Linked DNA regions of Drosophila melanogaster. The protein of the gene in region 1 interacts with the protein of each later gene in a pairwise test. Each region holds a gene or a part of one and is shown on either strand. Other genes may lie near its edges. The genes, in order: CG30080, CG1309, CG17600 and wat.

Region 1 (7,906 bases):
GATGGCCTATTTGGAAACTCCAAAAGGATTCCATTGCTCTGGCACTCTAATTAATCACTGTATGTTTGCATATGATATACTTGTCGTGCAGATCTAATGCAACTCTGTTTCAGTGTTCGTCTTAACGGCAGCTCACTGTGTTCCGGACGACTTGCTAATGTAATTAATCATTAAAAACATATTTATATATTACGATTATACTCAGTGTGAATCTAATTAAACTATTTTCTTAAAGAACCGTTCGCCTGGGAGAGTACAACACGAAGACTAAGGTGGACTGTGACAACCACCTGTGCCAGGAACCCTTCCAGGAGTACAATGTGGATATGGGCTTCAGGCATAGGTATTATAATGCGAATGACCAAACCAACGACATCGGCATGCTGCGACTCGGAAGGAGGGTGGAGTACTTAAGTGTGTCTAGTTAGGATATGAGTACGACATTTTTATAATATCGATGCATTTCACATATGCAGATCACATACGTCCGATTTGCATTTTCGCAAGCAACCGTTTCCAGGAGCCGATAGACCAGCTCACCTGGTTTACGACCACCGTTTGGCGTGAAACTGCCGCTAACGCAACGAGCAAAGTTCTTCGGACCATGAACATCGACCGCCAACCCAAAGAGACGTGCTCCGAAATCTATGGCTGGAATATGACGTTCGAACAGATCTGCGCCGGCAACACCTTGAGTCAACTCTGCAGCACCGACTCCGGGGCTCCGCAGATCCGCAAAATGTGGCACAATGGCTCAGACCGCTATGTGCAACTGGGCATCGCCAGCAGGGTGAAGGGCCAGTGCCAGAACTCTGGCATTCTCATGGATCTATTGAGCTACGCTGACTGGATAAAACGGGTGGTACGGCAATACGGACCCTCGACGGATATGAACCGTTCATTAAAGAAATGGGTCGATAAAATTCCAGTATTTTACTACCCGAAATAATATAATATCAATAGTAAGCTTTCATTGCTAGTCCTTGTTTAATATAATAAATTAAAAAGTTTAATGTTGAACAATAAAGACTATGTCGCATTTAACATTTCTATGTTTCTAAGCAAAGAAACTCAACAAATCTTGTTTTCCTTTTAAAAAAATTACAATATTATTGGCTTAATCTCAATTGACTGATTATGATTTTCTTGTTATACATATAACAAATCCATCTGAGTTTCAAGACTTTTTATTTTAGCCAAGTTTCGCATATATTTGTTACATTTCATGTAGAAAAGATTCGATCTTACATTGTTGGTTGAAAACCATGCTAAGCGTTGGTGATGTAAAATTAGGAGGATATGTATGTAGATTGAAAAATTGTTTAAATGCATTGTGTAATGTTTAAATAATTAAACATTTTTTAGTTTTGATAATACATTTTCTAGTAATTTTTTATTTATTTATTAAAACAATTTTAAAATACTGAAATACCGCAAAACTTAGTCGTATGTACCAATGTTCTTCATATCACTTGTAGCTCTTTTGCACGGAAATTTAATTTGCTCAAAACACTTGTTCCAATAAGCAAAACGTGATTGCTTATATTAGCTAAGGTCAGCTTCTAGAGTATGCCACGGATAAAGAAAGAAATTCGTGCTAAAGTCGTTTGAAATTGGCCCATTAAAAATGTTTTCTATAAACAAGTTCGGATCGCATGAAATTGCAACCTGTTTTGCAAAGAGTGCGAATAGCTCTTGCTAATCGATATTTCAGAGCCCTCCCGATCCCATGTTATCTGCAAGTTGAGCAAAATGGTTGTGTTCATATACATTGCATTTTATATTATATTTTCACACTAAAACTAATTTCTAAGTATTAACATTATAGCACATAAGTTAGATTAGTTACGATGGGATGAGCTATAGATAATTACACATGTTTCTTAACATTAACATTATTAACATATAACATAACATTATTTGTGCAGTTAGTTGATATGGCGATATGTCGTCGAGCCGGCAATATACACAACCGGTTTTTGTGCCGCACTTTCGAGAGATTCGATTGCATCGGACTAGGTTGAATCGATCTTAGTAGACCACGATGGAGCTACTGCATGGCGTGTCTTGGATGGATGTAGTGGGATCCGGAGTTGTTGTCCTCCCGGTAAATGGCGGTCATCAGGAGCAGCAGGGTGCCGGCGATCAGGGCTCTAAAGACTTTGTCAACAAATCGAATGTGCTCCATGTTCTGATGCTCGTCGACTGGTCGAAGCTTTGGAATTAGCAATCTTAGCGCGTCTGGCTTTGAAACGTTACTGAACGCTCGTCTTGATAGCGACCGGAATTTATTGCAGCTCCAAGCGAGGTGTTTTCCCCCTACTGAAGGTTGGATGGTGGAATTGCTGCGGCAAGGGTAGTTTCCCAGCCGCCGACTTGGAAATGCCCCAAACCCAATCGCGTTACGAGCACTTTACAATGCCACAAATTGTTGTATTTCAGAACTCTGAAACAACAAAGCGAAACCCCCCTCTCGGAACGAGATCGTTGACTGACTCTCTGCGTATCGCTATAATGAATTCAACTAACAAATTTTGGCATCGTCAACGTGCCAAGATTGCAAATCAAAAGCAATCTGTTTTGAAGACGAGGCGACGACGCATTTTCTTGGATCATTGCTCTTTAAAACTGACAGAGACTGGACTCGAGGAATCTGGAAGAATCGATATAGGGAGGGACATTTTTTTATATGTATATCTAATATCATTGTATCCAAACTTACCTAACATATTGCTGGAACTTGGGACTATGGCAAAATTGAATACAACTGCGCCACATGTTTTGCGAGATCTTTCGATATAAGGAAAGAGTATTTGCGGCGAGACTACTAGAGATCCGAATGGGATTCAAGGTCCAGTTAAGGGGAAAATCCCGCTCGATGTTCTGCAAGTGTGGCATCTCTCGATGAGTTCTCGTTTCGGACTGAGGATCAAGGACTATTTGATCTCAGGTAGGGGCGCAAGCAGCTGCATTTTCTTTGCGCCTCCAGATGCCCAGGGGTAGGTCATGTCCTTAAGAGCAGGATGGAGTGAGGATCAAATTCTTGTTACCTACAATTCGCAATATGGTTTACTCTTTAGATGTGTATCTAACCGAAAACCTCTTTATGCTAGTAATATGACTGATGAGCAAATCTTCTCTTAATTCAGTAAAAATTCAGCTTTAAGATACAATTATGTTAGCCGAAAACAAAGATATTAACAGAAATGGTATCAACGCATTCATTCTTCACCCTTTTTTATATTTAAAATAAATATTTAATGTTCTCTATCCTGCACTGCAGCATTATTTGTTTCTCTGTAAATTTAATCACTGCAATATGCAATCAAGCTACCTGTAATCAGATAATCCACAGAGATTCCTCTGAAGTTTGACTGTCTTCTGCATTCAGTTCATATCAGAGCTTGGTGGCGCAATGACGGTTTTGCAATTGCTGCTCCTGGTCATATGCCTTAAACTTGGTCAACAATCCGGACAAGCAGTTCCCTTTGGAAACCAAACAGAGAAGCCCTGTAAGTGCCAGCAGATGAGGGGTGACCTGTAGTAATGTTTCCCTCCCCAAGATCAAACATACTGCACCACCTACGATCAGAAGCCAGGCAAATGCTTACACTACAGAGAATGTTAGTGCATCGCGAAAATAGTTTCGAAGCCAAAGGACCAGCTGACCGCCAAGGACTTGGAAATAAAGAGGAATGCCCCTTGTTTTTCAAATTCTAAAGTGAGTGGTCATTTAACAAAGCGACATATGCTGATATTCCAATCTTTCAAAGAAATTCATTTGCTGTGAGGAATTCGTGCTGATTGCCAGTGAGAGTTCGTGCGGAGAATTCGGGGATCAGAAGATAACTGGAGGGAGCGAGATTCAAATGGGATCTCGACTTTGGATGGCCTTGCTGCAATTGAATCTTTCAAAACCGAATGAGAGGTTATCCTTTGCGTGCGGTGGCACGTTGATTAGCCCACTTATGTATTAAGTTAGTCCGAAACCAGGGAGTCTCGGTTAATATTTTAATATTAATATTAAATATTATTATTATTATATTATTATAAAGCAAACAAGATTATTAAATAGGTGACATTGATAAGATAATTCATGTACTTTAACATAAGCGAATAGGAAAAACAACTTAAGACCAATCTTACTTCGGACAGCCCCTAATGTTGAACGTTTTAGAGTTTATCAGGTATATTGCAACTAATTGCAAGCTCGTAGTTTTCATATGTCTTACGTTAGATACTTTCAAGCTAAATGGTTTGGTTATCTACGCTGAGGGCATCCACTAACTGGGAAATTCGTTGAGCTCGCGTCAATTTCCACGATACGCAGGACAAAGCCGTGATGAAGAAGCCAATCGCTATAAACCCAAAGTTCATCATAGGAACAATCAATTCAATAGCACTGTTACTCACCCATTAGGAGAATGGCCTCGGAAGTCTCATCCTGCCAGGCTTTTGAGACAACGCACAGTAAAATGAATCCGCTGAGCAGGCAAAAGGATCCAACTACGACGGCCAGTGTTATGAGTATGATCACCGGATCGTTTAGAGGACCATAATCAAAGAGTGTACGGCAGAGGGACGTTTTCCGGGGCATAGGAGTACCACTGTTGAATAAAAACTAACTAGTAGATTTGCTAATCCAAAACTGTGCACTACGAACCAGGCTTGAGAATAGGTGGGTAGAATGGGAACAGCTCTGCACTCCATGGCGCTCCTAAGGAAACTGAAGTTGGAGCTCCACACTAATGTTTTTGGGTGGCTGGCGGGCCCTACTTCTCCACATTCTAAATTTAGCCCTCAGTCGCGGCTGACGATCGCAGACGCGTGTCTGAGATTGGAGTTAGGGCGTTACATTATCTATTTATAGCCATCTAGGAAATGGTTCGATCCGGCGGAACTAGCGGAACAGATGTTTGAGTTCAGCCGGCTACTTCTGCAGTCACAATGCGTCTATTTTCGTATCTATTTTCTATGCAGAGTTCAATGCTCTGTGCGTTGAGCTGAAGAAGAAATCGAAGATCCCGAGAAGTCGTGTAATGTAATAAATCAACTTCATTACTGCCTCATAAACGTCGAAAAAGGAGGCGTGGCGGGGGCGAACAAGTGCGAATCATTAACTCGATGTCTCGAAGTTCACGTTTCGCATGTGCCAAGGTAGCGTTGACAACCGACACGCGCAGTTTCCCCCCGCATTTTCCGCCCATCACCGGCGTAGTTATAGAAATATACTTGGCTGCTGCATTCAAGCGAGCTGTAAATTATGCAAAATAACGACGTCAAAGTTTCAATATAATGAAGCCAACGGACTGGCGGGAGTTTCGGGGCCCGCAGGTTGGGGAATATTATAGTCTGAAATTTCATCCCTAATGTTTCTATGCCATTAAGCCAAATAGAAAACGAAAAGCAACTTATGTGCCATAATGTTATACCTTTAGATTCCATGGATGCATGAGGGTGAATTTAAAGTTTCATTTCATGCACGTACTTAAGTTTTAAATGGTTTCGAAAGTATGTGAAACGACTAGTTGTGAGTTACCATTAAATATATTACTTTACAATTGTTTAATTGAATTTCGGGTGCATGTAAAAACTCTAAGGTTTCTTTACAACAGTTGAATGCTAGAGGTTATAACATTTTTCCCCTTGGTTGTGGCCTGAGACCAACACTCAATCACTGCCCCAAGTCCTGAAGACATAAAAATCAAATCGAAGCCGTCGCCATAAACAATTATGAACTTTGTTGCACATTGTTGTCCACACATGGCCACACGGATCCTGCTCCTTGTCGTCGCCTTGGTTACATTGTAAAACGTTTTATTGTCGCCACCATCTGGCGACGATTTGTTGGCAGCAGCGCACCGCCGCCAGACGCCCAGCCACCCACTGAAACCACCGAACCCACCAGAGGTGCCAATATATCCTTTTTCTTGCTTATTTCAAACCCATTCAGCTAATGGAAAAATACCATTCCCGGTTGGAAAGGCATAAAATATGACCTGATATGTATCTAATTAGAAAAATTACTCCAAAATAATATTTAAAAGTTTTTTGATAATAATATTTTAAAATTATTTTGATAAATAACCGTACTTCTTTTTTTAATTTAACTTTTTTTGCTTATTTGCTCATCACTGAACCCACCCTAAAAATCCGATTTCAAGGTGTAAGCCGGCGGCACGACGACAACTGTTATGCTTATCGGATGCTTTCTGAATAAGAATAAGAATTCGGATGCGGATGTGGATGTGGATGGGACTCGAGTGCGGATCCCAGGCGCTGAGGCAAATTGCTGCTGATTGTCAGGTTCAGGCGACGCTGCGTAAATAACTGAAAGTGGTCCGAGGTGCCAACTGCCTTTGAGCCGGACCCAAAAGTTTGGCGAAGCACATTAGACGGCGATGGCCAAACTTCGGACCGATTAAGTTGGGAGTCGCAATGAAAAGGGCAGTTGGCAGTTGGCAGTCGGATGATGGTGATGCTGAAAATCTTATCGCCGCACAAGAACCCGTTTCTTTTTAGTGCCGCAATCAGCGCTGTTCACTTGCAATGGCCGTGGCAGGACAAATATTTTACTTTTACTCTTTCGCGTCCGTTTCGAGATTCATTTTTTCTTATACCGTCTCCGTTTCTGACTTTAACTTTCCGCCCCACTCCCCCCAAAGTTGAGCTCTCTAATGCGCTGCAAAAGTGTGCCAAAGACGCTGACAGCGAAATCAAACACAAGTCGGTTGGAGTACATATATATAAACGGACAAGCAGCGGAGAAGGTCCTGCAGAAGGTCCGAGGAAAGGATGCACAAAGTTAAAATTAAATTAGCGTTTTTTCGAGCTACGCAGGGTAGCAGGGCGATGAGAGGTTGGGTCATTCTGGGCCACGAAATGAAGTCCAAGGGCACGCGATTCTCTGGGGAATGCAGGGTATCTATGGGTCGAATCCGAATGATTCCCACTAACAAGGTATTCGCATCCTAGTGCCACTGTCTGTCACTGCCTGCTACTTAGCCAAATTAAAATTTCAGAGCACCAATGCGCTGCACGATGTTGGGCTACATAAATAAGAAGCTAATTTGAAATAACTATACTAATATCTACATTTTTAAAAGTTATAAACTAAATTGGTACCAAACAAATGAGCTTAATTAAATATGTGGTATTCCTTCAGATATTTTATAAGTTACAAAACTAGTTGTGTTATAATGAGATTCTGTCAAGGGATCATCGTAACTTGTATTTTCTTAATTTATTTAATTTAAATTTGAAATATTGGTAGAGCATTAATCCTTCGACTCGCGAACTAAGCAGTTTCGCTTCCGTTTCGCTGTTAGTGTCCTTTTAGCGCTTCGCATTTATGCTTGTTTAAGCAAACGCCGTGTTATCGTCCGGATCCGGATTCGTGTCCGTGTCCGTGTCCGAGTCCAGTCGAAAGGATAATGCGCGTAATTGTTGTCCGTGCCCGGCAGTTGGCGCTGAAGGAGCGCCTCTATTTGCATGGAACGCATTAAAAGTCGCTGGCGCAGCGCCGTGGCAATTCAATTTAAACGAGTGGCATAAGCGCAATCTGGCAAACTAGGGATTACCACTAATGCCGCACGTATGCATGTATATATCTGGTATCCGGAGTTTAGTGCATATATGCCAATGCTCCGGGAATGACTTTATCGGTACTCAATGGCTCAATTGTTGGACCAGCCTCTGTGACTTTCGCTCTCAGCCCTCTCGACACATATTCGCATATCCGCACATCCGCATATCCACATTCGCATCTGCCAGAAGAGCCAACGGCAAGGGCACTTCGAGTGCAGTCAGTTCAGGTCGAGTGTTCATTAAGCGAGATCAATGGGTTGGCATATGGTCACCGTGGCTTGAAGTGCTTGAAGAGAGTTAAAGGACGTATGCAACATGG
Region 2 (7,385 bases), on another chromosome or scaffold:
TTCCTAACTGCTGTATACGAAAAATCAATATTTATCGCACATCGATTATTTTACCTACCTGTGGTTATCGTCGATGTCCAAAATTAGGTCCATTTTTTTGTGTATACAGATTCGGACTTATATGCTATTAAATAAGCTTTAATTTAAACTTTAAATACAATTTTTTTAAATTAAAATTAACAACTGCTTTTACATTTTCACATCCGCCTTCTGGTTCCATCGATAACATTTAAAAAAAAATATCAAGTTGTCATCCCTGTCCAAAATCTTAGCTCAGACGCAAACCGCCGCATCGCTAACAAAAATATTTACAAATTTTCATTGCCTTACTTTTACCGAATAGATTTTAGTGCAATTGTCATCCCAGCGCCACCATGACGATGCGACCTGATGACCACCGAAGGAAATGGGACAAGAACGAGTACGAGAAGCTGGCGGCGGAGCGGCTGCTCAACCAGGTGGCACCCAAGGAAGAAGGTCAGTGTCTAAATTCCCTGGAAGGCACACATAATAAAAGTCTTTTTGTTTTTCACCAGAACCCGTACAGCGGGAGAACCTCAAGCGACGCGACTATAAGGTGGACCTGGACAGCAAGCTGGGCAAGAGCGTTGTCATCAACAAGAACACACCCACCTCGCAATCCGGTGGCTATTACTGCAACGTTTGCGACTGCGTGGTCAAGGATTCCATCAACTTTCTGGACCACATCAATGGCAAGAAGCACCAGCGCAATCTGGGCATGTCCATGAAGGTGGAGCGGAGCACCGTCGACCAGGTAAAGGAGCGCTTCCAGCAGAACAAGAAGAAGATGGAGGAGAAGCAGAAAGACTACGAGCTCGAGCGCCGCCTGCGGGAGGCCAAGGAGGAGGAGGATCGCTACAAGGAACACCGCAAGGAGAAGCGAAAAGAGCGGAAGCGCAAGGCCGAGGACACGGACTTCGAGTCCGGCGGCATGCCCGACGACATGGCCGCCATCATGGGCTTCTCCGGCTTCGGTGGATCAAAGAAGAACTCGTAGGAACTAAGTGTTGAACTGCCCCTCCCCTCCAATTTTAGCTGTACCATGAAATAGAAACTAACCACAAGACGACGCGTCTAGTTTAGCTTGTGACATTTATTTTGTATATAATTTCACACCAGTTCAGAAGACACCAGCTACCCGGCTGTTCCCAGTTAGAATAATTTAATAAGCAGTCAGAAGGCAAAAATTACTAAAAACCATTTTACTAAATCTAAGCATACGGCCGTGGATCACCTGCGGAATGAGCTTAGGTGAACACAAATCCCTGCTCAGTGGGTATGTCCCACGGCATGGTAAAGAACTCCCCGGGCAGCTGGGTGCAGTGCGTCGAGTTATAGTCACGTAAATGCTTGCGCAGCTGAAAGGTGAACAGTATTAGATATATAGACCATTTAAACTGCCGAATAAACCCACCAAGAACACAGCCATCAGATTGCGCACCTCCTCCGAGTAATCTGCTCCAATGTTCATGGGGAATGACTTGCCCTCGTCAGAGGCGTAGGTGATCAGGCGCGACATGCACAGCTTCTCGTCGGCGACGGGGATACTGTATGGTTCCAGGGGCTTAGACAGCAGCCCCTTGGCCTTATTCAACTGGGAAGCCCCAAAAATGTTGGGATACCGGTGCTTGAGCACTGACAAGACCAAGAAATTTCCGCGGTTTGTGTCAATGTGGTTGTCCCTAATGGAAATCAATGGGTTACGTTTTAGGAAAGACCTCTGCCCAAATGCAAAAGTTATCACTCACTCTGCAATGATCTCATCCTCAGTGCGGCGAATAAAGGATATGGGTCCATTGAACTCGTTGGCCAGTTCGGCATTGTTCAAATTACAGTAGTTTCGAATGGCTACCTTGACAATGCCCGCCAGTGCAGCTGGCATGCGAGGAACGGCCAAGTAGAGCACATCGTCGAAGGTGGCGTCTAGTACCACTCCCTTGACATCCGGATACACAGAGGCAGCGTATAGTGTACTAAAGCCACCAATGCTCCAGCCATACAAAATTATATCCTCTACGGGGAACCTAAGATTGTTGATGGCAAACTGCACCACGGCATCGATGGCGTTCTTGTCCTGGTGGGGATGAGGAGTGCCTGTGCTGCCGGCAAATCCGGGATGATTCCAGCCCAAAACGGAATACTTTAAGGCCACTGGGGTGGCCATAATGCCCACTTCATAAAAACCGGCATTGCCCTCGGAGCAAATGACTAGAGTCTTGCCATTTCCCACGTTGTTTGGGCGATTGTCAATGAACAACGTATCGATTTCGTTCGAGTCAATGGTCTTAACCTTGTAGCGGATGCCGTTGTCATCCTCGATGAGCTTGGCGCGTCCGGAGATCAGCATGGGTCCTGCAAAATATTTTAGGTTCAGTATATGTAGAAGTCTATCTTATGGGCTTATCGGATTGCAATTTAACAACATTTCAGACAGCTTCACATATGTATATCTTTCTTACTCATAAGTTTCTGGAGTAGTTTGACCGAACCCGGATAGATCATGGAGAGCCCAAAGGTGTTTATGGCCAGGTAGGCGATGGCCTCACAGGGCAGTGTCGCCAGCTGGATGGGCTCCCGCCTTCTAGCCGTAACCACCGGCTTTTTGGTATCACTGAAAACGAAGATGTTATTCTGGCACACTTCAAAGGCGTAGCCCACTCACCCGGTTAGAGCTTTCACATCAAAGTCCACCGGCCAAGCGTTGAACTCGATGTCGAAGCGACGCAGCTCGCTGTTGGCATCTCCTGGTGCCTTGGAGGACTTTGCTCGGACGAGGGCCTTAATCATGTTGGAGTAGGAGCGCGATTGCTTGCGCCCCAGGCCGCGCATCACCAGCGATAGGATGACGATGAGGCCCACGCTGGTGGTGATCTTGGCCAGCGTCGGTATGGAATCGGTCACCAGGTAGCCGCGTCGGTATAGGAATGTGACGAGCAGCGGAGAAGTATAATAGCCCACGGACCACATAACCGATAGCTGCAACGGAGAGTGTCGATTTTCCACATTACCATATGCTCCAGATTCTGCCCCATGGGATCGCAGGGCACTTACCGTCGATAGAATCTGCTCCCCGAACTTTTCCACGGCACCTGCCTCGTACATCTTGCGCTGCGGCTCCGGCACACCGCGGTATTCCATGTAGAGGTTGGGGCCAAACACGTAATTTAGGAAACTCATCTTGGATCGGATCGTAGTCGGTATGTCTGGATATATTTAATTTTCTCTATTTTATTTTGTTGCAAATGATGTGAAAGCTGTTCCAGGGTGTCGCACTCACGAACAGATGTTTAACATCGAATACCAGGGCTGCCACATTAGATACCTGACCTATTAATTGTAAACTTCAAAATGTTGGTCCAAATTATTAAATGCAATAAAATATGCAGAGAGGATGTTTGATAATTTAGGTATTAATGTGTATGTATGTATTTTTTTTGAATTAAATGAAATTCCCAATTGGAAACTGAAAGCTCACACAAATGTGTACCTTTCGGAACTAGATCCCCTAATTGCTGTTATCAGAGAACGAGCCATCCCTGGTTCTACCCCAGGAATTTATTCCCAGTTGATAGACAAAAACGCCGGCTTAAAAATGGAAAAGTTTAATAAAGCGCAAGCTAAAAATTTGGCTGCCGCCCAAAAACTGGTGGACACCTACGCCTCCAGCTCCGAGGATGAAGGCGAACTGGATGAGAATCACATTTTGGGTAAATCGACCGATGCTTGTGACGTGTCATTTGAAAACCATCAAATTTTGTGCTTTATCTTTTCAGAACTCCTATACAAGAACTACAAACCGTCGGACAACGCAGGAAGCTCAAAGGAAGCGGCACGCACCAGTACGTTTCTGGAAAACACTCTACACTCGGGAGCGGCAACCTGTCTCATTTGCATCGGAAGCATTCGGCGGGTGGAGGCCATTTGGTCTTGCGAGAGCTGTTACTGCTTCTTTCACTTGAAGTGCATCCAACGGTGGGCCAACGACAGCATGATGCAGATGAAGGTAAAGGCGGCAGAGCAGCAGAACGGCCAGGGCCACTACAATCATCTGGGCGAATTTGTGCCGCCCAAGCGACAGAAATCCCTTCACTGGTGCTGCCCCAAGTGCCGCAGGGACTACCAACCGGCCGATAAGCCCACGCAGTACAACTGCTTCTGCGGCAAGGAGGTGAACCCCGAGAACCAGCCCTTCCTTGTGCCCCACTCATGCGGAGAGCACTGCGGAAAGCTTTTGCAACCGAAGTGTGGGCACGATTGCAAGCTGCTATGTCATCCGGGGCCATGTCCTCCTTGTGCGCAGCAGGCGCAGGTCTCGTGCCTGTGTGGTAAATCTAGTCCTAGGTCCGTGAGGTGCATTGACAAGCAGTGGACGTGTCAGCAGACTGTAAGTCTTAACGTTTTAAGAAATTTTGTCTGACCACCATACTAAAAAAATGATTTTCCAGTGCAAGGAACTTCTAGCCTGCGGCAAGCACAAATGTAATCAGGTGTGTCATCAGCCAGGAAAGTGTCCTCCATGCACCAGCAAAAGCTTACAACCTTGCGAGTGCCAGCGGGAGTCGAAGATGGTCAACTGCTCCGATCGGAAATGGAAGTGTCAGAATGTAAGAAAAGCCTTTTGAAGCTGAAGCATAAAACAACATTAATATTCTTTCAGGTTTGTGGAGCTCCATTTGCTTGTGGTTTGCACATTTGCGAGAAGGTGTGTCACGCTGGACCCTGCGGAGATGGAGAGTGTCCTTTGCAAGTCAGGAGTTGCCCATGCGGCAAGAATGTATGTGATATATTTATTTACAAGTTTATATTCATTTATGATTACCTAATTCTGTAGACCCAGGTAAGACCCTGTAATGAGACAGAGGAAACCTGTGGCGATACGTGCCAAAAACTTTTGTCCTGTGGCCAGCACACTTGCACCCAGCGTTGTCATCGTGGACCTTGCATTTCCGTAAGATAGCCACCAGGGAAGCAAATCGATTCTCTAATGAAATATGTTTCTTACAGTGCCCAATAAGAACCAAAAAGAAGTGTCGTTGTGGTCTGCACGAAAAGGAGTTGCCCTGCTCCAAAGAGTTTGCATGCGAGACTAAATGCAAGCAAATGCGTGATTGCGGCAAGCATGCATGCAATAGAAAGGTATAAGAGCACGCAAGCATTTTAAATGTATACAGCCGAATTAACCAATAACCTTTTTTAAAGTGCTGTGGGGACCAGTGTCCACCGTGCGAAAAGATTTGTGGCAAGCAGCTGAGCTGCAACAAGCACAAATGTCAGTCCGTGTGCCACAACGGACCTTGCTATCCGTGTAAACTGGAATCCCAGATTAACTGCCGCTGTGGAAAGACCAAAAAAAGTGTTCCTTGTGGCAGGGAAAGAAGTGCACGCATTGTCTGCTTGGAACTCTGTCGGTTCGTATTTCTTTCGCAATATATAATGACCGACTTTTAATCTCACTTCTTGCAGCATAACTCCCAAATGTCACCATGCCATTAAGCATCGTTGTCACAAGGGTGACTGTCCTCCATGTGGCCAAGTGTGCGGTCTACCCAATGACACCAGCAAGTGTGGGCACATCTGTAAGGCACGATGCCACGAGGCAGTTAGAGTTAATAAACCCAAAGAGGCTAGGCCACAGGCCAAAAAGGTAACTATAATCACAAAACTCACCTATCTCAACATTAAAACTCTACAATTTGTTTTACAGTATGAGTATAAGGCATTACCACATCCACGGTGCGAGGAAGGCGTCATTGTCACCTGTATCGGAGGTCATGAGGTTGCCACTTGGCCATGCTGGAACTCCAAACCCACTTCCTGTCAGCGATCGTGTGCACGTCAGCTTAAGTGCGGCAATCACAAGTGTTCATTGGTTTGCCATTTCGTACCGCTTCCCCAGGATATGTCTGCGCAAACTGGCTGTGCCAACTGCGAGGAGGGTTGCACCGTTCCCCGACCAACCGGATGTATTCACGCCTGTCCCAAAGGATGTCATCCACCGCCCTGTGCGCCCTGCAACTTTGTGATTAAGACCAAGTGTCACTGTGGACTCAACCAGTTGGTTTACAAGTGCAACGAGTATTATGATGAAACGGGATCGGTCCAGGAGATCATCGAGCGAAGAGAAAAGCTACGGAGCTGCGGTAATCGATGCTTGAAGAATGTAAGTGCTGTAATATACCATTGTCGATCAAGCCTTACAGTGATATATATATTTTTTCAGTATCCTTGCGGACATCGCTGCACAGCCATCTGCCACACAGGCAAGTGCCCAAATCCCGAGTTGTGCCGCAAGAAGGTTCGCATTTTCTGCGCCTGCAAGCGACTCAAGCAGGAGATTGCCTGTGACAAACACCGTGCTGGTCAGACATTCTTGGATTGCGACTCGAACTGCAAGGCGGAGCAAATTCGCGTCCAGGCGGCAGAGCAACTGCAGCTGGAACAAAAGCGTCGCGACGAGGAAGAAAGAAACCGCCTGGAACTCGAGAAGTTCGAGGCCAAGTTCGGCAAACGCAAGCACAAGGAGCGCAAAACTGTGGGTTCTGGACCGGCCAAGACCAAGATCGATTGGCAACGTAGAGCAATCTATGCAGTATCCATTCTAACAGTTGTGGGTGCAATTGTGGTGGCTTTCTACGCGGACAGTTAAACGAGTAACAACAACCGATTCAAACAAGAATTTGTAATATCAATTTAAACAGATAAGCAAATAGAATTAAAACAATGACTGATAAGCATTTCCAGCCAGCGCAGTGTTTGTCTATGTTGAGCTTTTCTAATCAGGCTGGCCAATTACTCCGCCTTGGCCTTCTTCTTGTAGACGCAAGCGGCGGTGAAAACGGAGGCGCTAAGGAACGTCGAAATCAGGAAGTTTGATAGCAACATCCAATCGTGGGACTGGAAGAACACCGTGTAGATTCGAGCTGTAAGGGATACATATATGATGTGTTAATTGATGACATCAAGTGATGGAATGCAAGATGTGATCTCACTCATGTTTGTAAAGGCGGAGAGCGCCCATGTGGTTCTACTGACGGAACTGGCATCCTTGGTCCTCAGAATAGCCAGCAGCTGGAGGACCTTACTCGTGGCTCCAATGGGAGTGCAGAAAGGCTGACGGGAAATCAAACATTTAGATGAATTTCACGAGATTTATATATATTGCCCGAGCACTGAAAGTATTAATAGCCGCTCAAATATTATACAACAAACATCGGTGACCTTGAGCGAAGATGCTGCCCAGTTAAGAGCACCGCCTTTTCAAACTAAAACAAATAACAAATCAAACCAAACCCGTTTGCCCGGAAACATAATTAGTTAATTGGAAAAGAGAGCGGGGAACGGGTTTGAACTGCGCCGAAGTCGTT
Region 3 (7,432 bases), on another chromosome or scaffold:
TCAAATGTCAAAGTATTTAAGTCACACGATCGGAAAGTTGACAATCGCTGGCCAAATGACAATTTTGCATTGTTAACCTATTCGGCTTTGTTTTCTTTACATTAAGATTCGGATGTTGGCCAACAATGGGTTAAGAGCAGCCTTCAAAATTGTGGTCAGCCTGCAATGTTTCGTTTCTTTTCGTTTTTGTTTGTTTCTCGATGGAATGTAGTAACTGACTGTTAATTGTGGCCAATGTCAGCTTTGCGTATACTTAATATTTTATGTTTGATGTTTTTAGGCGTATTTGTTAGGGGAGTTCATTTCCAATGACAAAGAAGTGTGTGTACATATTTGTTTTGTAGATGATTTAAAGCTAAATAAAAAATAATCCGTTCGAAATCATTAACTTGTCTTCTAATTGGAGAGGAATATTAATCTAGAATCAGCTTCGCGCAATTCACAATTTTTTAAGGTATTCATAATTGGTTTGCGTTTCCTTAAACGCTCTGAAAACTGGATATAACATCATAAGCGACAACAGCGGTGTTTCACTGTTTTAAGATTTCGGGCTTTGGTCGTTTGATTGGATCTTTTACACATGTTTGCCCTTAAGCTTTAATTAAGTTTTTGTGGACAATTAATTTCCAATTTGCGTAATGATGAAAGCTCGTCATGTTACATAAGTAAAGAAGATATCTATTTAATTGCATGGATCAGTCTTACCGACTATAGTCTTACCTACTATAAACGTAGGCATTGGCTTTATTCATGTTAATTTAAACAATTGCGAAGAGAAAGTTACACTCATCAATAACACTGACGATAAACGAGAATTCTTTTTGAAAAAATGTTTCATTGAGAATAGGAATTAAATTGGAAGATATATTGACCATTGTTGATAATCGCCTGCATGATTCCACGATTTAAAAAATAAATTGGATTTACTGGCCGATTTTTGAATTAATACAATTCGTAAATACTAGATTCGTTCTAAAGTATGCAACAGGCAGAAGGAAGCGTTTCCGACCAGAAAAATGATGAAATTTCGCAAATGATGAAATTCGCATTAACACTAACCGAGTAAGGGGTATCTGATAGTCGGGGAACTATATAGCATTCTATAGTCATTCGACTATAGCATTCTCTCTTGTTTTTATTTGGTCTCTTCGTGAGATCGACATTTTTTTACACTTAAAAAAATGTAGCTGTTAGGATGATTTTGGTTTGATGTTTGATACCATATTGAGGATTTGGCGATGTTGTATGTTAATTATTTCTTGAAGTGTTCTCTTTTATATATTTAAGGTTTTCAATAGTTGAATTAATAAATACCTTCATGAAAAATGTGGAAATAATATAAGACTCCGACTTTGGGTGCAACTTGGCAAGGCGTAGCGCAATGTATTGCATATATCGCATTTGGTTAGCTCGCGACGTGCCTGCCTAATCTGGTTTAAAAAACAAACGTTGCACGCAATCGAATTCGCATTCACAGTCTCACAACCCGATCCCCCCGGGGACACAGCCCCCATGATCTACGGTCTCCGCTCCCCAATCTGCGGACAATTAAGGCGGCAAGGTCGTCGCCGTTTGCCGCCGCTGGAATTAACATTTGAAATGACTTCATACGAAAATAATTGCACGAACGGAAAGAGATCAAGCGGCGTGTCTGCGGAAAGTGGCTGCTGGCTGCAAAGTGACTTACGCACTTGCCACGAACACTCGAAAACGAGTGCAACGCACGCGGCTAATAGCGGATGGCCAACAGGCCAACTGGTTAACTGGATAACAGGCCAATTTATGGCCGAGCTTATGAAATTCAAAAAAGGGGCCACAAAACACCAGACATACATATCGCGGCGGCAATCAAAATGAATCGAAACGAAACCAAACACTTGCCCGATCGCGAGGAAATGAAGTGGTGGGCCGGGCATATCATTAGATGGAACTGTCGATTTTCCAAGGTTGGAGGTTTCAAAGAAATAGTGCAAAAATTTTGAACTGCTATTTAGCTTTATGAAAAGTACAACAATATATTGTATATCATATTATAGTAATAACTCTAATAACGATAACTCTATAATAATTTCAGAGCACGAACTCATAATATCTTTTTGTTTTTGCTAAATAAAAAGTTAGGATGTCCCAGTTCAATAATCAGTAGTTGACATACATATAAGACGCTCTACACATTTTCTGCCTGTGCACTGTGCGTCTGGTTCCCCCTTTCACTTTCAATTAGCCAGTGGGCAGCGCGGCTTTTTTGGTCTCTTTGCAATTTTTTCGTTTCGTTTCGCATTTATTATTATTTATAATATGCGCATTTCAAGGAAAAACTTTCGCTGCATGCAACATTTGGTGTGTGGTGTGCGCTGCATTTCCTGCAATTATCGCATAAGTACGCGTGCTGAGGGCGGAGAATGGAGTGGAGTGGTGAGTGTAACCGTCCCGACTATGATTATGAAACTAAGAGTACAACTCCATATGAGTGTCCATAAATGTATCAAGCCATTATGCAGCGTGTAACGTATTTGCAAATGCGAGTTTCAAGACCCTTTATCGAAACCTACCGCTGCTCAATCGGGTTCGAAGATACGATACGATCACTGGCATTACAGTCGATTGATAATGCAATTATTGAAATTCTCATCAATCAGCTAGTGGAAATGCGAATGCAAAATTTCATAATTTTTCTGGGATATATCGGCAGATATGCGTTGGAATAGTGAGGAGCGTGCCTTTGCCGTTGAGGTCTACTTTTCAAGTGGATGTTCGGTTATTAAAACACAGCGTGCATTTCGGAATAGCTTTAATTTAGCCCCGTTGGCTAACGTCCCAGACCGCAAATCAATTGTCACATGGGTCACTACATTCAGGCAAAGTGCAAGTGCGACGAGACGCAGAACTGGAGTCCCTCGACCCGTTAGATCACCTGAGAACATTGGGATCGCCACGGCGTTCTGTGAGAAGAATTGTTCATGATGATCTTCAATTTTATCCGTATAAGATGGCGATAGTGCAGGAACTTTCAGAACGTGACTTCAATTCTCGGATGAACGATTCTTCTTGATGTCATTCCCGAGGATGCTATTGTTTATATTTTAGTGATGAAGCCGATCTGTACCCTTGTGATTTTTTTCTATGGGGTTTCTTGAAATCCCGTGTTTATGTGAACCGTCCAAGAACCCTACAAGATTTAAAAACCAACATCCAAGAAGAAATTGACAACTTAACACCTGCTATGCTAACAAACAAGAGTCACGACAAAACGCCAGAAATCGGTTTACGCAATATATGGAGAATGGGGAATGTCACCTATCAGATTTCATTTAAAAAAAAATAAATAAATAAAAACTTTAGACATGTACCTACATTATAAAAATAAACAAATATCTTTCGATGCCTACAAAAGTTTTCATTGAGTTCGTAAAAAAGGTAATTATGCTGCCGCATCCTGTAGTTCCTGCGATTTCGACGTTCATACGGAAAGACGGACAAAGCCAAATCGACTCGGCTATTGATCCTGATCAAGAATATATATAATTTATATGGTCGGAAACGCTTCATTCTACCTGTTACATACCTGTTACGTACCTGTTACATACTTTTCAACAAATCTACAATAGTATACCGTCTTACTCTACGAGTAACAGGTATAATTTTTGGAAAGAAATTACGTTATTGCCCCCATAAAAAAATTTATATTTTATATAAAAAAAAAAAATAAAAAAAATTATTTTTAAAATTTATATTTCCGACTCATCATTGATTTGAAATAAAATAAAAACAATACAGACTAACTTTTGATTGAGACTCAAGTACAAATTCAGTTCCCATCGAATTTGGGCTGCAATCCACGACAAATTTTTTAAAACGAGTGCAGTTTCCTTGATAAAGTCTTGTCAACTGCCTTCGCTCTTTTATACATATTAATTTTATTTTTATTATTTTTTTTTTGCTTGCTGGTCAGCCCGAATGAAACAATTGCTAAGAGGATTTATTCCGCGGAATATAAAGTATTTATGAGGCGTTTTTGCTGGATTGCTGGGTACAGGGGCAACAATTTGACAACCTTAGGACGGAAGCTTGTTAGGTCTTTCTTTTAATGACTTTGCCTCGAGACTTCGAAGCACTTAATGTACGCTGGTCAGCTATTCGTTTTAGAGCCATTAGAATGCGAAAACATCTCGAAAATGTAGAAAAGGTTGCGCTTAGCAGATATGTATTCAAAGGCAACATTTAAATTCCTAGAATTACTGTAGAACTGCAGAACTGAAAGCTTACGTAAGCCTTGCTTATCACCCTTACGTAAGTTACGCAATTTGTCAAAATAACTTTGACGAAGATTAGCATTTCAAACAACTGTTGTTATTGTTAACACAAATTAGACATCTTCCACTTAAACCATCTGTAGATTTCAGAGAACATGTTTATCTGAATAAGTTACTCTGGGCAATTAGTTGATTTTGTGTGATTTCTCAAGTGCTCTAGAGACTCTTTCTGTGCCAAGTTGTCTGCGTATGTTTTTAAAACGGTTTTCTGTTTTTCAAGCATTCGTCAGTCTTTTATTTTTAGTTTATCTGTGCAAACTTACTCTAATTAAAGCGGCGTCCCTGGCCTTTGTGTGTAATATTTATTTATTATTGTCTATTTATCAGCTATTTTCTCCTGCTGCGCCTTTGCGATGTGTTGTGCGCTATTATTGTTGCTTTATCTCAGGTTGAATGAAATCAGCCCGCTAATTTTGCTGTTGTTTTCGCCGGCAGCGTGCTGCGTGCAATTAAAATTCAACAAATTCCATTTCACTTCAACACACAACTGCAAAAAAAATACATGCGGCGATAAAATATCGAAGTAGGCAATAAAGCGATCGGTTAATTGGCGATTCACACACGGTACCGTTACTCGAAGACAGACGAAAGCAGAAGGAGAGCGCAAGACAGCGAGCATGCGCTTGCGAGTTTCTCGGCGGCGCGTTCGTTTCTAACTGAAACCAAGTTGATCGCTTCGCGCGCTTTCAACCGCCGCATTTCTCAGTCGACGTCGCTGGCCGAAAAGCTGGCAAAGCGGAGCCTTTAACTTTTGGTATGCCACCATACTGTTGTTGCAGTCGATGTCGGTGATGGAGGCCCCAAAAGAAGTAGCTACACTTGTTGTACATATGTATGTATGTACATATGTGTGTATGTATATTTGTACGTACCGTATGCACCTTCCACCGAAGACCTCCGCGTAACATTAGAGTTGAATTTCTTGCATAGCCCGATTTGGCTGGAAAACTCAAAAAATACCACCGGGGCATCACTGTTCGGACAGTTTTACAACCTGTTAGCGTAAATCTGCGCTTAAAGAAGTGCCGACAATCAACAACAAACGGTAATGAGTGTGCGCAGGCGCAGCAACAACAACGAACTTTCGAATATTGAACTTTCTGCCAGCATATTCAACCTGGTGACCGCCGTTAAATTATAATCAATTTCAATTTCAATCTGCTCTTCACCTGCAGCTGCAGACAAAAGGAACAATTTGCTGACGTCACGCCGGAATGCTGCGACAGGCGAACAAAATTGAGAGTGATTTCAGGGCGAAAAATCAGGTGGAAAATCGGGGAAGAAAATGATTAAAGAAATAACGAGAACGTGGGGAAAATACATAGTTAGCCCGCCAAGAAATCTACATACGTATATAGTTCTGTTTATTTCATCATTGTGAATATAGTACATATGTATGTACGTATTTCATTACATCTAAGACATTGAGATGTGATAAAGAAAAATTGAGTATAAAATAAAGAATATTGAGTATAACATAAGTATAGTTAACTTATTTATTTTTACCAATTATATTATGCACCTTTATAAATTTTATATACCAATCTCAGTTGAATAAAAAGTAGTTTCCCATTACTCTCCATTATTCATTAGCAAGTTTTTTCAATGCTGTTGCCTTGGGTTGGATTGAAAAAATGCGTTTTGTTCATTGCCGAGAAAGACGTGACTGGAGAATCTTTTTTCGGCTCGGGCTTTTCATGGATATTTTAGCCTATTGCTGTTATATAACTGCATTCGTGTTTCTGGGATGGCAAAGAAAAAATGGCAGAGAGTACGTTTTGTAAACTGGAAAGGCGTGTAACCGATGCAATGCGAATGCTTAACGGCGGCAGCAGCCCACAAGAAAGGCAGCAGATCCATAAACAAAAGGCTACAAAAAATATATTCCGAAATTATAGGCCATATAAAATAACCCGAAAAAAGAAGCGGCTACCATTTGAGTTTGGACTTAAACATTTTGATTACTTTTTGGCGCGCAACGCAAGCACCGCGTCTGCTCTTAAGTAAAGTGCTTTAAAAAGAGCTTTCAATCCGCGTTATATGAAAGCGAAAACAGCAAAAACATGTCACATCATTGAAATAGCGAAAGAAGATGCCCAGGAGCTGATTTGTAGTGACCCAGAATAGTAGCAACATCGAGAGAAGTTCCTCGACTACCAGATACCCGTTGATCAGCTTGGAGGACTACGAGATGGAGTGCAAAATAGATAAACGATCAAAACATTCTCACAAGTGTGGGCGTTGGAGTGGGCGTGGCAAAAAGTTTTTGGCAAATCGATAGGAATTTACAAGACATAACAATATGAAAAAATAGCACAACAATTTTCAAAGTAGGTAGCTTGTGGGCGTTAGAATGGGCGTGGTTTGTTGGCGCTGCGTCTATGTTCCTAGAATCTGTATGCCTAATCTTAACCTCTTTAAGCTTTTATAGTTGCTAAGATCTCGACTTACATACGAACGGACAGACGAAAAGGGCCAGATCGACTCGGCCATTGATCCTGATCAAGAATATATATACATATAGAACAATATATATTCAACGAATCTAGCATACCATTTTACTCTACAAGTATACGGGTATAACATTTACTTTACGCAAGTGGTAAAATAAAAACACATGAGACAACAGAAACTCAAGCCCGAAAAATGGAGAGATACTTAGTCAATTGCACAAAAACTCCTGGCCGGCAATTTCGTGACTGGTTTTCCACTTGTTTGTAGTCTTTTCTCCGCTTTTTCTTCATTTTGACTTTTGTTACTTCTGGCACTTGCTTTATGTAAGTTGCAACCTGCAGCTGCTTGCTGCAGTTGCAGCCGCTGCTGCGACACGATTGTGTCTTTAGTCTTCCGTTTTCTTTTCCATTTGGCGGCGTGCTCATAAATCGCTGATCACATTGCGAAATGAACTCCATGATAAGCAGAAAAGATATCCATGAATACGATATCGCATATCGGCTGATTAAGAAGGAGCTTATAGTATATGTACATATTGTACATTTTTTGTCTGTCCAAATATGTCGATGAACTAACCGGCTGGCACGGCACGGCTGAGAATAGAGTTGTGCAAGAATGCAGTTGATATGTAAAAGGAAATTTATGAATATTTGTAGACAAAATAA
Region 4 (7,453 bases), on another chromosome or scaffold:
TCAAGACAATTCACTGGCTTTACAACCTGTTGGAGTAAGTCTTTTACGGCCCCATCAGCAGAAGATCAAGACCAGGCCATGGTAATGACCCAGTTGCCTGGGCTGGCAGACCTTTTAGCCAAGTGCCAAAGCAGCGACGCTTTCATAGCGACATGCATAATTAAAAAGCCGTTACAGGATGTACACGGTCGGGGTTTATGTTTAAATGGTCATGCCAAATTTATGGGCCCGCTCTTAATTGGGCCGAAAACGTTGACTAACGAACAAACAAACAAACAACAAAAATTGGCAACTTTACGTGCAGAGTTTCGGGCCACGTTCATGTTCAATGCCGCTGGCCTGCAGCCGAATTGTGTTGACCTTTTCGCGTAGTGCTGGCCAGTGGGCAGGTGGAAAAGCAGCAGAGATTCTGAGAGAACCAGAAAGCCTTGCCCAAACCCAGTCCGAACCCAGTCTCAACCCAAACCCAAGCTCAGGCTCAAGGCGGTCAGGTGCATTTATCGCAATTAAACACTTGTTGCTGCCAAAGCAAAGCAAAAGCACTAAGCAAAAAGGCAAAAGCAAAGCTGCCACCGCAAAAACAACGCCACATCTAACAAGAAGCGAGGCAAGATTAATACGTGTATTACGGCCGGGCCACGATTTCCACAACGATTCAACAACGATTCAACAAACGATTCCACAACGAGCTAATAGCAAATGTATTGTATATACGAGTATAGCTGTAGTAGATAGCTGCAGCTATATGGCAATTGCGATTTGCTTAGAATGCGACAACCGCCGGGCCCCAAATAAAAGCCCAAGTGCTGACCTTGTCAGTGGCTACTATGCTACCAATATTACCAATACAACTGCTTTGGTACGACCACCAATGTTGCTTTGGAAATCGATTGCACTGCTGAATCTCGAGTGGTTTTCCTTGTGTTTGATTTTTCAATTTTTGCAGCACAAAGCGTGAGCACAAACACACACACACACACACACAGGCCAAGGAGCGATTTTGATAGAAGAGAGGCGATTTTTTTTACGCCCGAAAGCGATTGGATTTATTTTGAATTTTATCAATATCAATGCTGGCATGGGAAGTTTCAGCAACAATATAATTTATATGCTTCTCCGCCCAGATGCTGCATTAAAATATATAAATAATTGCAATGTTTGGGTTAACCTCTTATCAATGGTTCATCTATAGTTAAAGAACACATTCCGTTTAAATCAACTGGCTGTCACTCAGAGTGGGCTATTCAGACCGCAGGAATTTTACAATTATATATTACAGCGCTCGTTAAATAATTAATAAGTGTAATATGAAACATATCAGAGCAGCTACATATGTACTGTGCCAAATATAATTACACTAATTAAATGAGCATGCAGAATTTAATATGGCCGTGTTCAAATGAACAGCTACAAGTGTAACACTTTTATCTACAAATATATAGAATATCTGCATGGAAATTCGATCTTTGTTGTAATTTAAAACCGTACGTTTTATACGAGTATGGTAAATGCAAACTCACCCGATAATAGTTGAAATTGACAAAATTTATGTTCAAAACATACCTTTATTTAGGAACGTTGCCACTTGGCAGCTTGAAAAATGTGCAGATACCGGAGGCACAGATGCAGATACAATGCAAACATTACTCAGCCGCATTGCTCGGCTACTAAACAATTTAAATGAAGATGTTCCCAATTGGATTCATGGTCAGGCGGCCGATGAGTTATTTATGCATACTTAAACACGCCTGGAAAATGCAAGGCGAAGAGCGCCTTCGGATATCTTGGCCATTTGGACACTTGGCCGTTTGGCTGTTTGGCTGCTAATTCGCAGCAGAAGCAATATTCGCACATTTATCGATTGCAAATCAATTTCGTGCAATTGCACATCTCACGTAATGTCGGCCCCTCTTGGCCAGGTCGAAACGCAGTGGCTCTGGCTCTGGATTTGGCTTTGGACTTCGATTTGGATTCGGAATCGGCTTGGGCTTGGGCTTTAACTGGCTGCAATGCATCGCTGCCGGATTACCCCTCGATTAATGCTGCTTGCATACAAATTGGCGCATTTACGTTCGCCTTCACCTGCTATATGGGAATCTCGGGGGGTCTTCCCTATCCACAAGATACAGATACAGATACAGATACAGATACAGATACAGATAGAGGTGCAGATACAGATATAGATACAGACACGCGCCTGCACTCGTTAGCCAGAAGCCTGAAGCCTGAGGCGTTTGCCTTCCTTTTGGCATTCGGCAGGCAGTTGGCCAAATTGCATAAACAAAATCGCGCAGCGAAATGAAAAGTGCGCCAAGTGCGAAATATAAATTACACCGCGAGCATTCGCATGCAAATTCCGATTCGGATTTCAATTCGAAAACATTGTCGCACGTTGAAAGTGGTAAGTGGCAAGTGGCAAGTGTCTTTCGGTGCAATCCTAATCAGCATGACTGGCCCAGTGCCAGTCACACTGCAAATCCCATCGCATCCCATCCCAGTTATCCCATTCCATTCCCTGGGTGCTGGATAGAAATGGCAACGAGGCGAGGTGACAACATAAGCAGACTTTTCGCGGGATTTGTCAAATATTTGCGCAACGCTGCGCTTATCCATCCAAAAAAAAGAAAAGCACTAAATCTCTGGAAAGGGAGATCCAAAACTGCAGCACCGAGTCCCAAAAACCCAGGAACCCAAAAAAAAACCCCCTACCCCGCTTGCCCACTTTTTTGTGTGCGCTTTCACGCCTCTTGGAAGGCGGGCAAACTTTTATTATTATTTCATTTTTTTTATGTTCGCCGCGCCTCGCAAGTTCAAAAAGTTTAATGCTATTTGACTTTGATTCAATGTTTGCATTGTGCCCGGGCACATCATCGATTATTTTCCACTTGACGCCCCACCACGTCAGCCCACTGAACATGGAACATGGAACACCAGAGCCACCAGAGCCATCCGCCCACGGATCCCGAAGCGAACTCCCAACGAATCCCCATCCGCATCCGAACTGGAATACCAGTTGTTTGTGGTGGACAAATGAAATATGTTTGGCCGCATCAAAAAGCCCTGGCACTGAAAATTGATAAATTGCGAATTAATTGAATCGCTATGACATGAAGTTTAGCACTATTTTCTCGTCTCGCCTCAATTAAAGAGTTGGCTGGGTTTTTCCTGCACAGATACTTAGATACTTTAATTGCATCCTTGAGGCCCATTTAATTGTGGCACACAAATCGATTTTTTAAACTCTGTTTCATTTCAGCACGATATGATGATATTCTCATGCATATTTCATTGAATGCATTTCATTGCCATTTAAATTTGGCCAACGAAAGTATTTGTTGTATAAAGGGCTTGGGGGCGTCCACTCTTTAAATTCTTTATGAACTTTAATTTCCAAATTACATCGCTTAATTGAGTTCGGATTTTAAATGGCTTGTAAAGCTGAGGCAAATTGCACATTTCTGCGCAGCTGAAATATGATTTACGTAATATAATAATATTTAATGCAACACATTTTTATTGCGACATTTCACTGAAATGCGTATCTTCTAAATATTTAAAATCCTCTTCTGGCCTTTTAGTCTCTTTTACAAAAGGTATGTATATTTTTGTATATTTTTGAGCATCAAGTAATTTCTTTTATAGCCAGCACAGAACAATTAGTCACGGATTTGTAAAACCAAATGTCACAGATAATATTATTTATTCTGCCAAATTAGTGAGCTGCTAAGTGGGAATTTAAATATTGATCGAACTGCTCTTGATCCAGTAATGAATGTTTTTCCCAATCTAATCAATTATTTTTTGGGTTTGGCCATATATAAAATACGAATGAATGCAAACTTGTTTGAAATACACAAAGACCACGGGAGTAATATAATAATCCAACTGGCGATTATCGATTCTTTGGCAGCCGTAACTCTTTTGCCATTGCAATGGCAAAACAATGAGTTATTTCCCAATTGCCGAGTGGGTTTGTTTGTGTATTAAATTTGGGAAATTCAATGAAATTTCACACATTTTTTCGTGAATGCCTGTGTGCTGGCAATTGGCTATGAGCTCTTCGTCGGCCCCTCCTGCACCTGCGGAGCGAATCCAACCCGTTTTGGGTATTTGGGTATATGGGTATTTTTTTTAGAAAGCCATCAACGCCAGCTACATTACCACCACCACTACCTACAGTGCCTAGCATATACGTAATGGCATATGTCATACGATTACCAGGTATACGGATAGCAGAGCAGATTGTCTATAATCCCATGTAATTCAAGACTCACCGATTTGCTGGCTGCACAGGCACAGATCCCACGGCCACGGATTGGATTGGAGTGGCTTTCCGCAAATTGCTGGCTAATTGGAGGGCTCGTGGATCTGCCAAAACGAATCTTGCTCGCTGGCATACAGGGATATATCTCTTGGTTTTCTATCTTTTTCAGTTGCCACTTTCGAAATATATAAAAATTCTCTAACCAAACGCGCTTTACAACTGCAGCACGCGCTGTTGCACAAGAGTAGCGAAAAGAGCGATGCCAAATTGGTTGCAACAGGTGGAAAAACTGGGAGCGCACCGCGATCCGAACCGAATCGGTTTTGTATATCCAGCGAATTGAGTCCCGAGTTTGAAAACTAACTTTTGAAGTCGATGCGAGCGTTACGCGTTCCAGAACCGCGCTGCCAGGCAGACGAAAACAGACTCAGCTCGATTGAGGCTCGCAAAAACCACAACACCTGACGGCGGCTTCTCAGTCCGTGGATCGGCGCCGTTCAGCGGCTCGATGGTGGTGCGCTTGGCATCTCAGCGGCTCAGCGGTTTGGTGGCTCAGCGGCTCAGCGCCTCAGCGACGGTGGCGTCGACTGCGACGGCGACTGCGGCGTTTTGTGGGCGGTAAGCCAAACTTAAAAAAAAAATCAAGTCAAATTGAGTGGCGCAGTTTGGACTGGCGATTGAAGTGTACACATGTACATAGTCGTACTAACTTGCCGCACCTGAGCATCGCTTTCGGACACTGCCAGTGTTATGATCCAATTTTATGGAGCCTCGTAAAGCCGAAGCATTTGAGATATATTTGCGGTATATGTACATCGGACTTCACTTAAGCGCTGGTCACTTGGGTTAAAATAGCGCCGGTTACTTAGCTTACAGCTTGCCATTCATCCTATTAAATGGAGCATTTTGAAGGTTCCAAAGCATCTTTAATAAACAATTAACAAAACGTGCTGGTAATCAAAGATTACGCCAGTATCTTTTACAATTGCCTTATTCAGTTGAGTTTCAAAATTGAATATTCCCATACCCAATGTATACTAGTAGTTATCATTCCAACGAAGATGACGAATACTCAAAATATTAGCAAAGATTTCGAGATGAACTGTAAATATTACTCATACGCAGCGTGTACATATATCATATATTATGAGGCTCCATATAATTGAATACATAGCGATTGAATTTTCGGATTATCATTATGATTGTTAAGAAGTGCAAAATGATTAACCGAAAATGTATTGGATTACTTTGCATTATATGTATGTTCTTTTATCTTGTATAAAAAATTCCGTTGTTAATTAAGTGATGATAGCATATGATTATCATGCTGACCCCAAGTTGTGTCTGGTAAATAAAGTGATTACTAGATGAGATCTCTGAAACCGTGCTGGCTAATTAAAGACATTCGGCGAACCTGGACCCTGTCTTTATAGTTTGATCTGTCTGACAGGGCTGAACCCACACGGACCTCCGGCTCAGCTGACTCATCCTCGAGTGCAGTGCACATCCGCTCCATCCCTATACGAATCCCAATCGAAAACCCAGCCCAATTGGTATTCCTGCTCCGTTCGCCCGGAGACGTCGTTCGACGTAGTTCGCTCATAAATTTTGCATTTGCTGTGTGATTTTCCTTTTTAGACGCGACAAGATTTCACTGATTTCGCATATATCCCAGCATTTATAATATATTCGCCTGGGCCGAGTATTCTAAGTCGAGTTCAGTACTGTTCAGCTGTTCGGCTGGTAATCGCAGTGCCGCCATCAATCACGTAGTTCCCAGCATGTTTTGTCGCCGATCCCATCTGTATCTGTATCTTGACGCAGTATCTTCTCACACCAGAGCCAAGCTCAAAGAGTCTATAAACTCGAATATCTCTCGCACAAACGCTGTACGAAAACGAAACAAAAGGCCCATTAATGACAAATGCGAAATAACGAAATTAAAATAATAATATTCGCGATCAAGACACTGCATATTAATGGTGGCCCCATCAAAAGACACTCAAGTGCACACTTTTCAGGTATGATCCGATCTTGTTCAGCTCTGTTCAAACACTTGACAATGACATGATTCGCTTTTGATGTATAATTACTTCACTTTCGAGGTACAACGGCCTGCAGATTGTTTGATGCCTTTATTTATGCTGTGTAATTGCTTTGAAATGCCTCTTTACTTATGCAGATTTCGGGGCTCCATTATATAAAAAGTTACGATTTGTAGGCGGACAGTTTGCAATGAGCAAATAGGGCAACATTTACCCAGACAACTGAGTGTTACCTTTTTGAGTCAATACCTTGAAAATCTGATTTCTCGCCGATTTTCGCACCTGGTCTTAGTAATTAGCTTAAAAAGTTATTCTTCGTTTCTGACATAGTCAGTTATTAAAGGTTCAACTATCTACCTGTTTATTTTCAAGGGCATTGAAATACGTTCGAGCCAAATTAAAATACTTTTTAAGCTGATCATTCTACGATTATTGTTTTTATAAACTATTTAGTTATATGGTGGTTTTTTTTTATGTTCCACACAGACCGTTTATGGACCGTCAAATTAGCTTGCATTACCAGGCTCAATCGTATGGCCAAAATCATATGGACTAACCAAACAGTCGAGCTGAAAAGCGAAGTGCAATAAACGCAACCGAAATTTAAGAACCCAATAAAATGGAGCACTAAAAAAGCGAAAGTTGACCTTGGTGCTCTTGAGCGACAAGAATCCGGGCCGAAATCGCGGATCCATCCAAACGGTTGCACCCCCAAAAACTGGCCAGCTTCGTCATCGCGATAATAGCCAAGGCAAATTGCCAAGTCATTTGGGTTTTTTACCTCTCGATATTCTAACAAATCGACTAGCAAATAGCGCCGTTCAAAGACAAACAGAAAAAGAAAACAGCGGCCATAACAAATCAAACTCAAAGTCCAGAAGCTGCAAATCTAAAAAGGTAATTGCCAGGGCTAATTCGGCATTTGGAGTGTGTGGAAAATTCGTCGCGTCACCGCATAATTATTCGAGGAGTCTCGATGACGAGATGATGGCCAGTAGTGTCTGGTAATTTGCCGTTTCAGCCGTGATTTACTATTGACTCTGGTGTCGGGCTGCTTGATTTATTTTATGGCCAGACGGAACGCAGCGTACGCCTCCAATATGTTCTTAACACACAAAGAAACCTATGCTTTCAATACCCTTCA

Evidence for each region.
Region 2: the proteins of CG30080 (region 1) and CG1309 interact in a two-hybrid assay, tested with the Drosophila melanogaster proteins (one large-scale study listed by BioGRID).
Region 3: the proteins of CG30080 (region 1) and CG17600 interact in a two-hybrid assay, tested with the Drosophila melanogaster proteins (one large-scale study listed by BioGRID).
Region 4: the proteins of CG30080 (region 1) and wat interact in a two-hybrid assay, tested with the Drosophila melanogaster proteins (one large-scale study listed by BioGRID).

The regions. Positions count from the first base shown.
Region 1 is NT_033778.4:15,696,966-15,704,871, forward strand, and holds CG30080 (uncharacterized protein), read right to left. Parts: upstream 4,732-7,906; 5' UTR 4,711-4,731; coding exon 4,664-4,710; intron 4,608-4,663; coding exon 4,414-4,607; intron 4,359-4,413; coding exon 4,249-4,358; 3' UTR 2,899-4,248; coding exon of another isoform or gene 2,723-2,898; intron 2,654-2,722; coding exon of another isoform or gene 2,623-2,653; 3' UTR 2,189-2,622; coding exon of another isoform or gene 2,051-2,188; 3' UTR 1,761-2,050; downstream 1-1,760. Other genes in the region: CG33462 (uncharacterized protein), read left to right, coding at 1-59, 114-159, 236-414, 477-949; CG42662 (uncharacterized protein), read right to left, coding at 2,051-2,188; CG46433 (uncharacterized protein), read right to left, coding at 2,623-2,653, 2,723-2,898.
Region 2 is NT_037436.4:4,255,356-4,262,740, reverse strand, and holds CG1309 (uncharacterized protein), read right to left. Parts: upstream 3,312-7,385; 5' UTR 3,199-3,311; coding exon 3,073-3,198; intron 2,998-3,072; coding exon 2,684-2,997; intron 2,633-2,683; coding exon 2,481-2,632; intron 2,374-2,480; coding exon 1,770-2,373; intron 1,704-1,769; coding exon 1,436-1,703; exon of another isoform or gene 1,380-1,435; coding exon 1,269-1,379; 3' UTR 1,098-1,268; downstream 1-1,097. Other genes in the region: CG11586 (uncharacterized protein), read left to right, coding at 375-477, 537-1,018; CG15011 (uncharacterized protein), read left to right, coding at 3,614-3,728, 3,795-4,405, 4,467-4,625, 4,679-4,795, 4,853-4,969, 5,026-5,157, 5,221-5,429, 5,485-5,665 and 2 more; CG1265 (uncharacterized protein), read right to left, coding at 6,811-6,941, 7,011-7,131.
Region 3 is NC_004354.4:22,512,738-22,520,169, reverse strand, and holds the start of CG17600 (uncharacterized protein), read right to left. Parts: upstream 4,974-7,432; 5' UTR 4,882-4,973; exon of another isoform or gene 4,801-4,881; 5' UTR 4,577-4,800; intron 1-4,576.
Region 4 is NT_033777.3:29,015,749-29,023,201, forward strand, and holds the start of wat (waterproof), read right to left. Parts: upstream 4,659-7,453; 5' UTR 4,275-4,658; intron 1-4,274. UniProt on the Drosophila melanogaster protein: Catalyzes the reduction of saturated fatty acyl-CoA to fatty alcohols. The preferred substrates are C24:0 and C26:0. Necessary for the final stages of tracheal maturation, to facilitate the transition from water-filled to gas-filled tubes.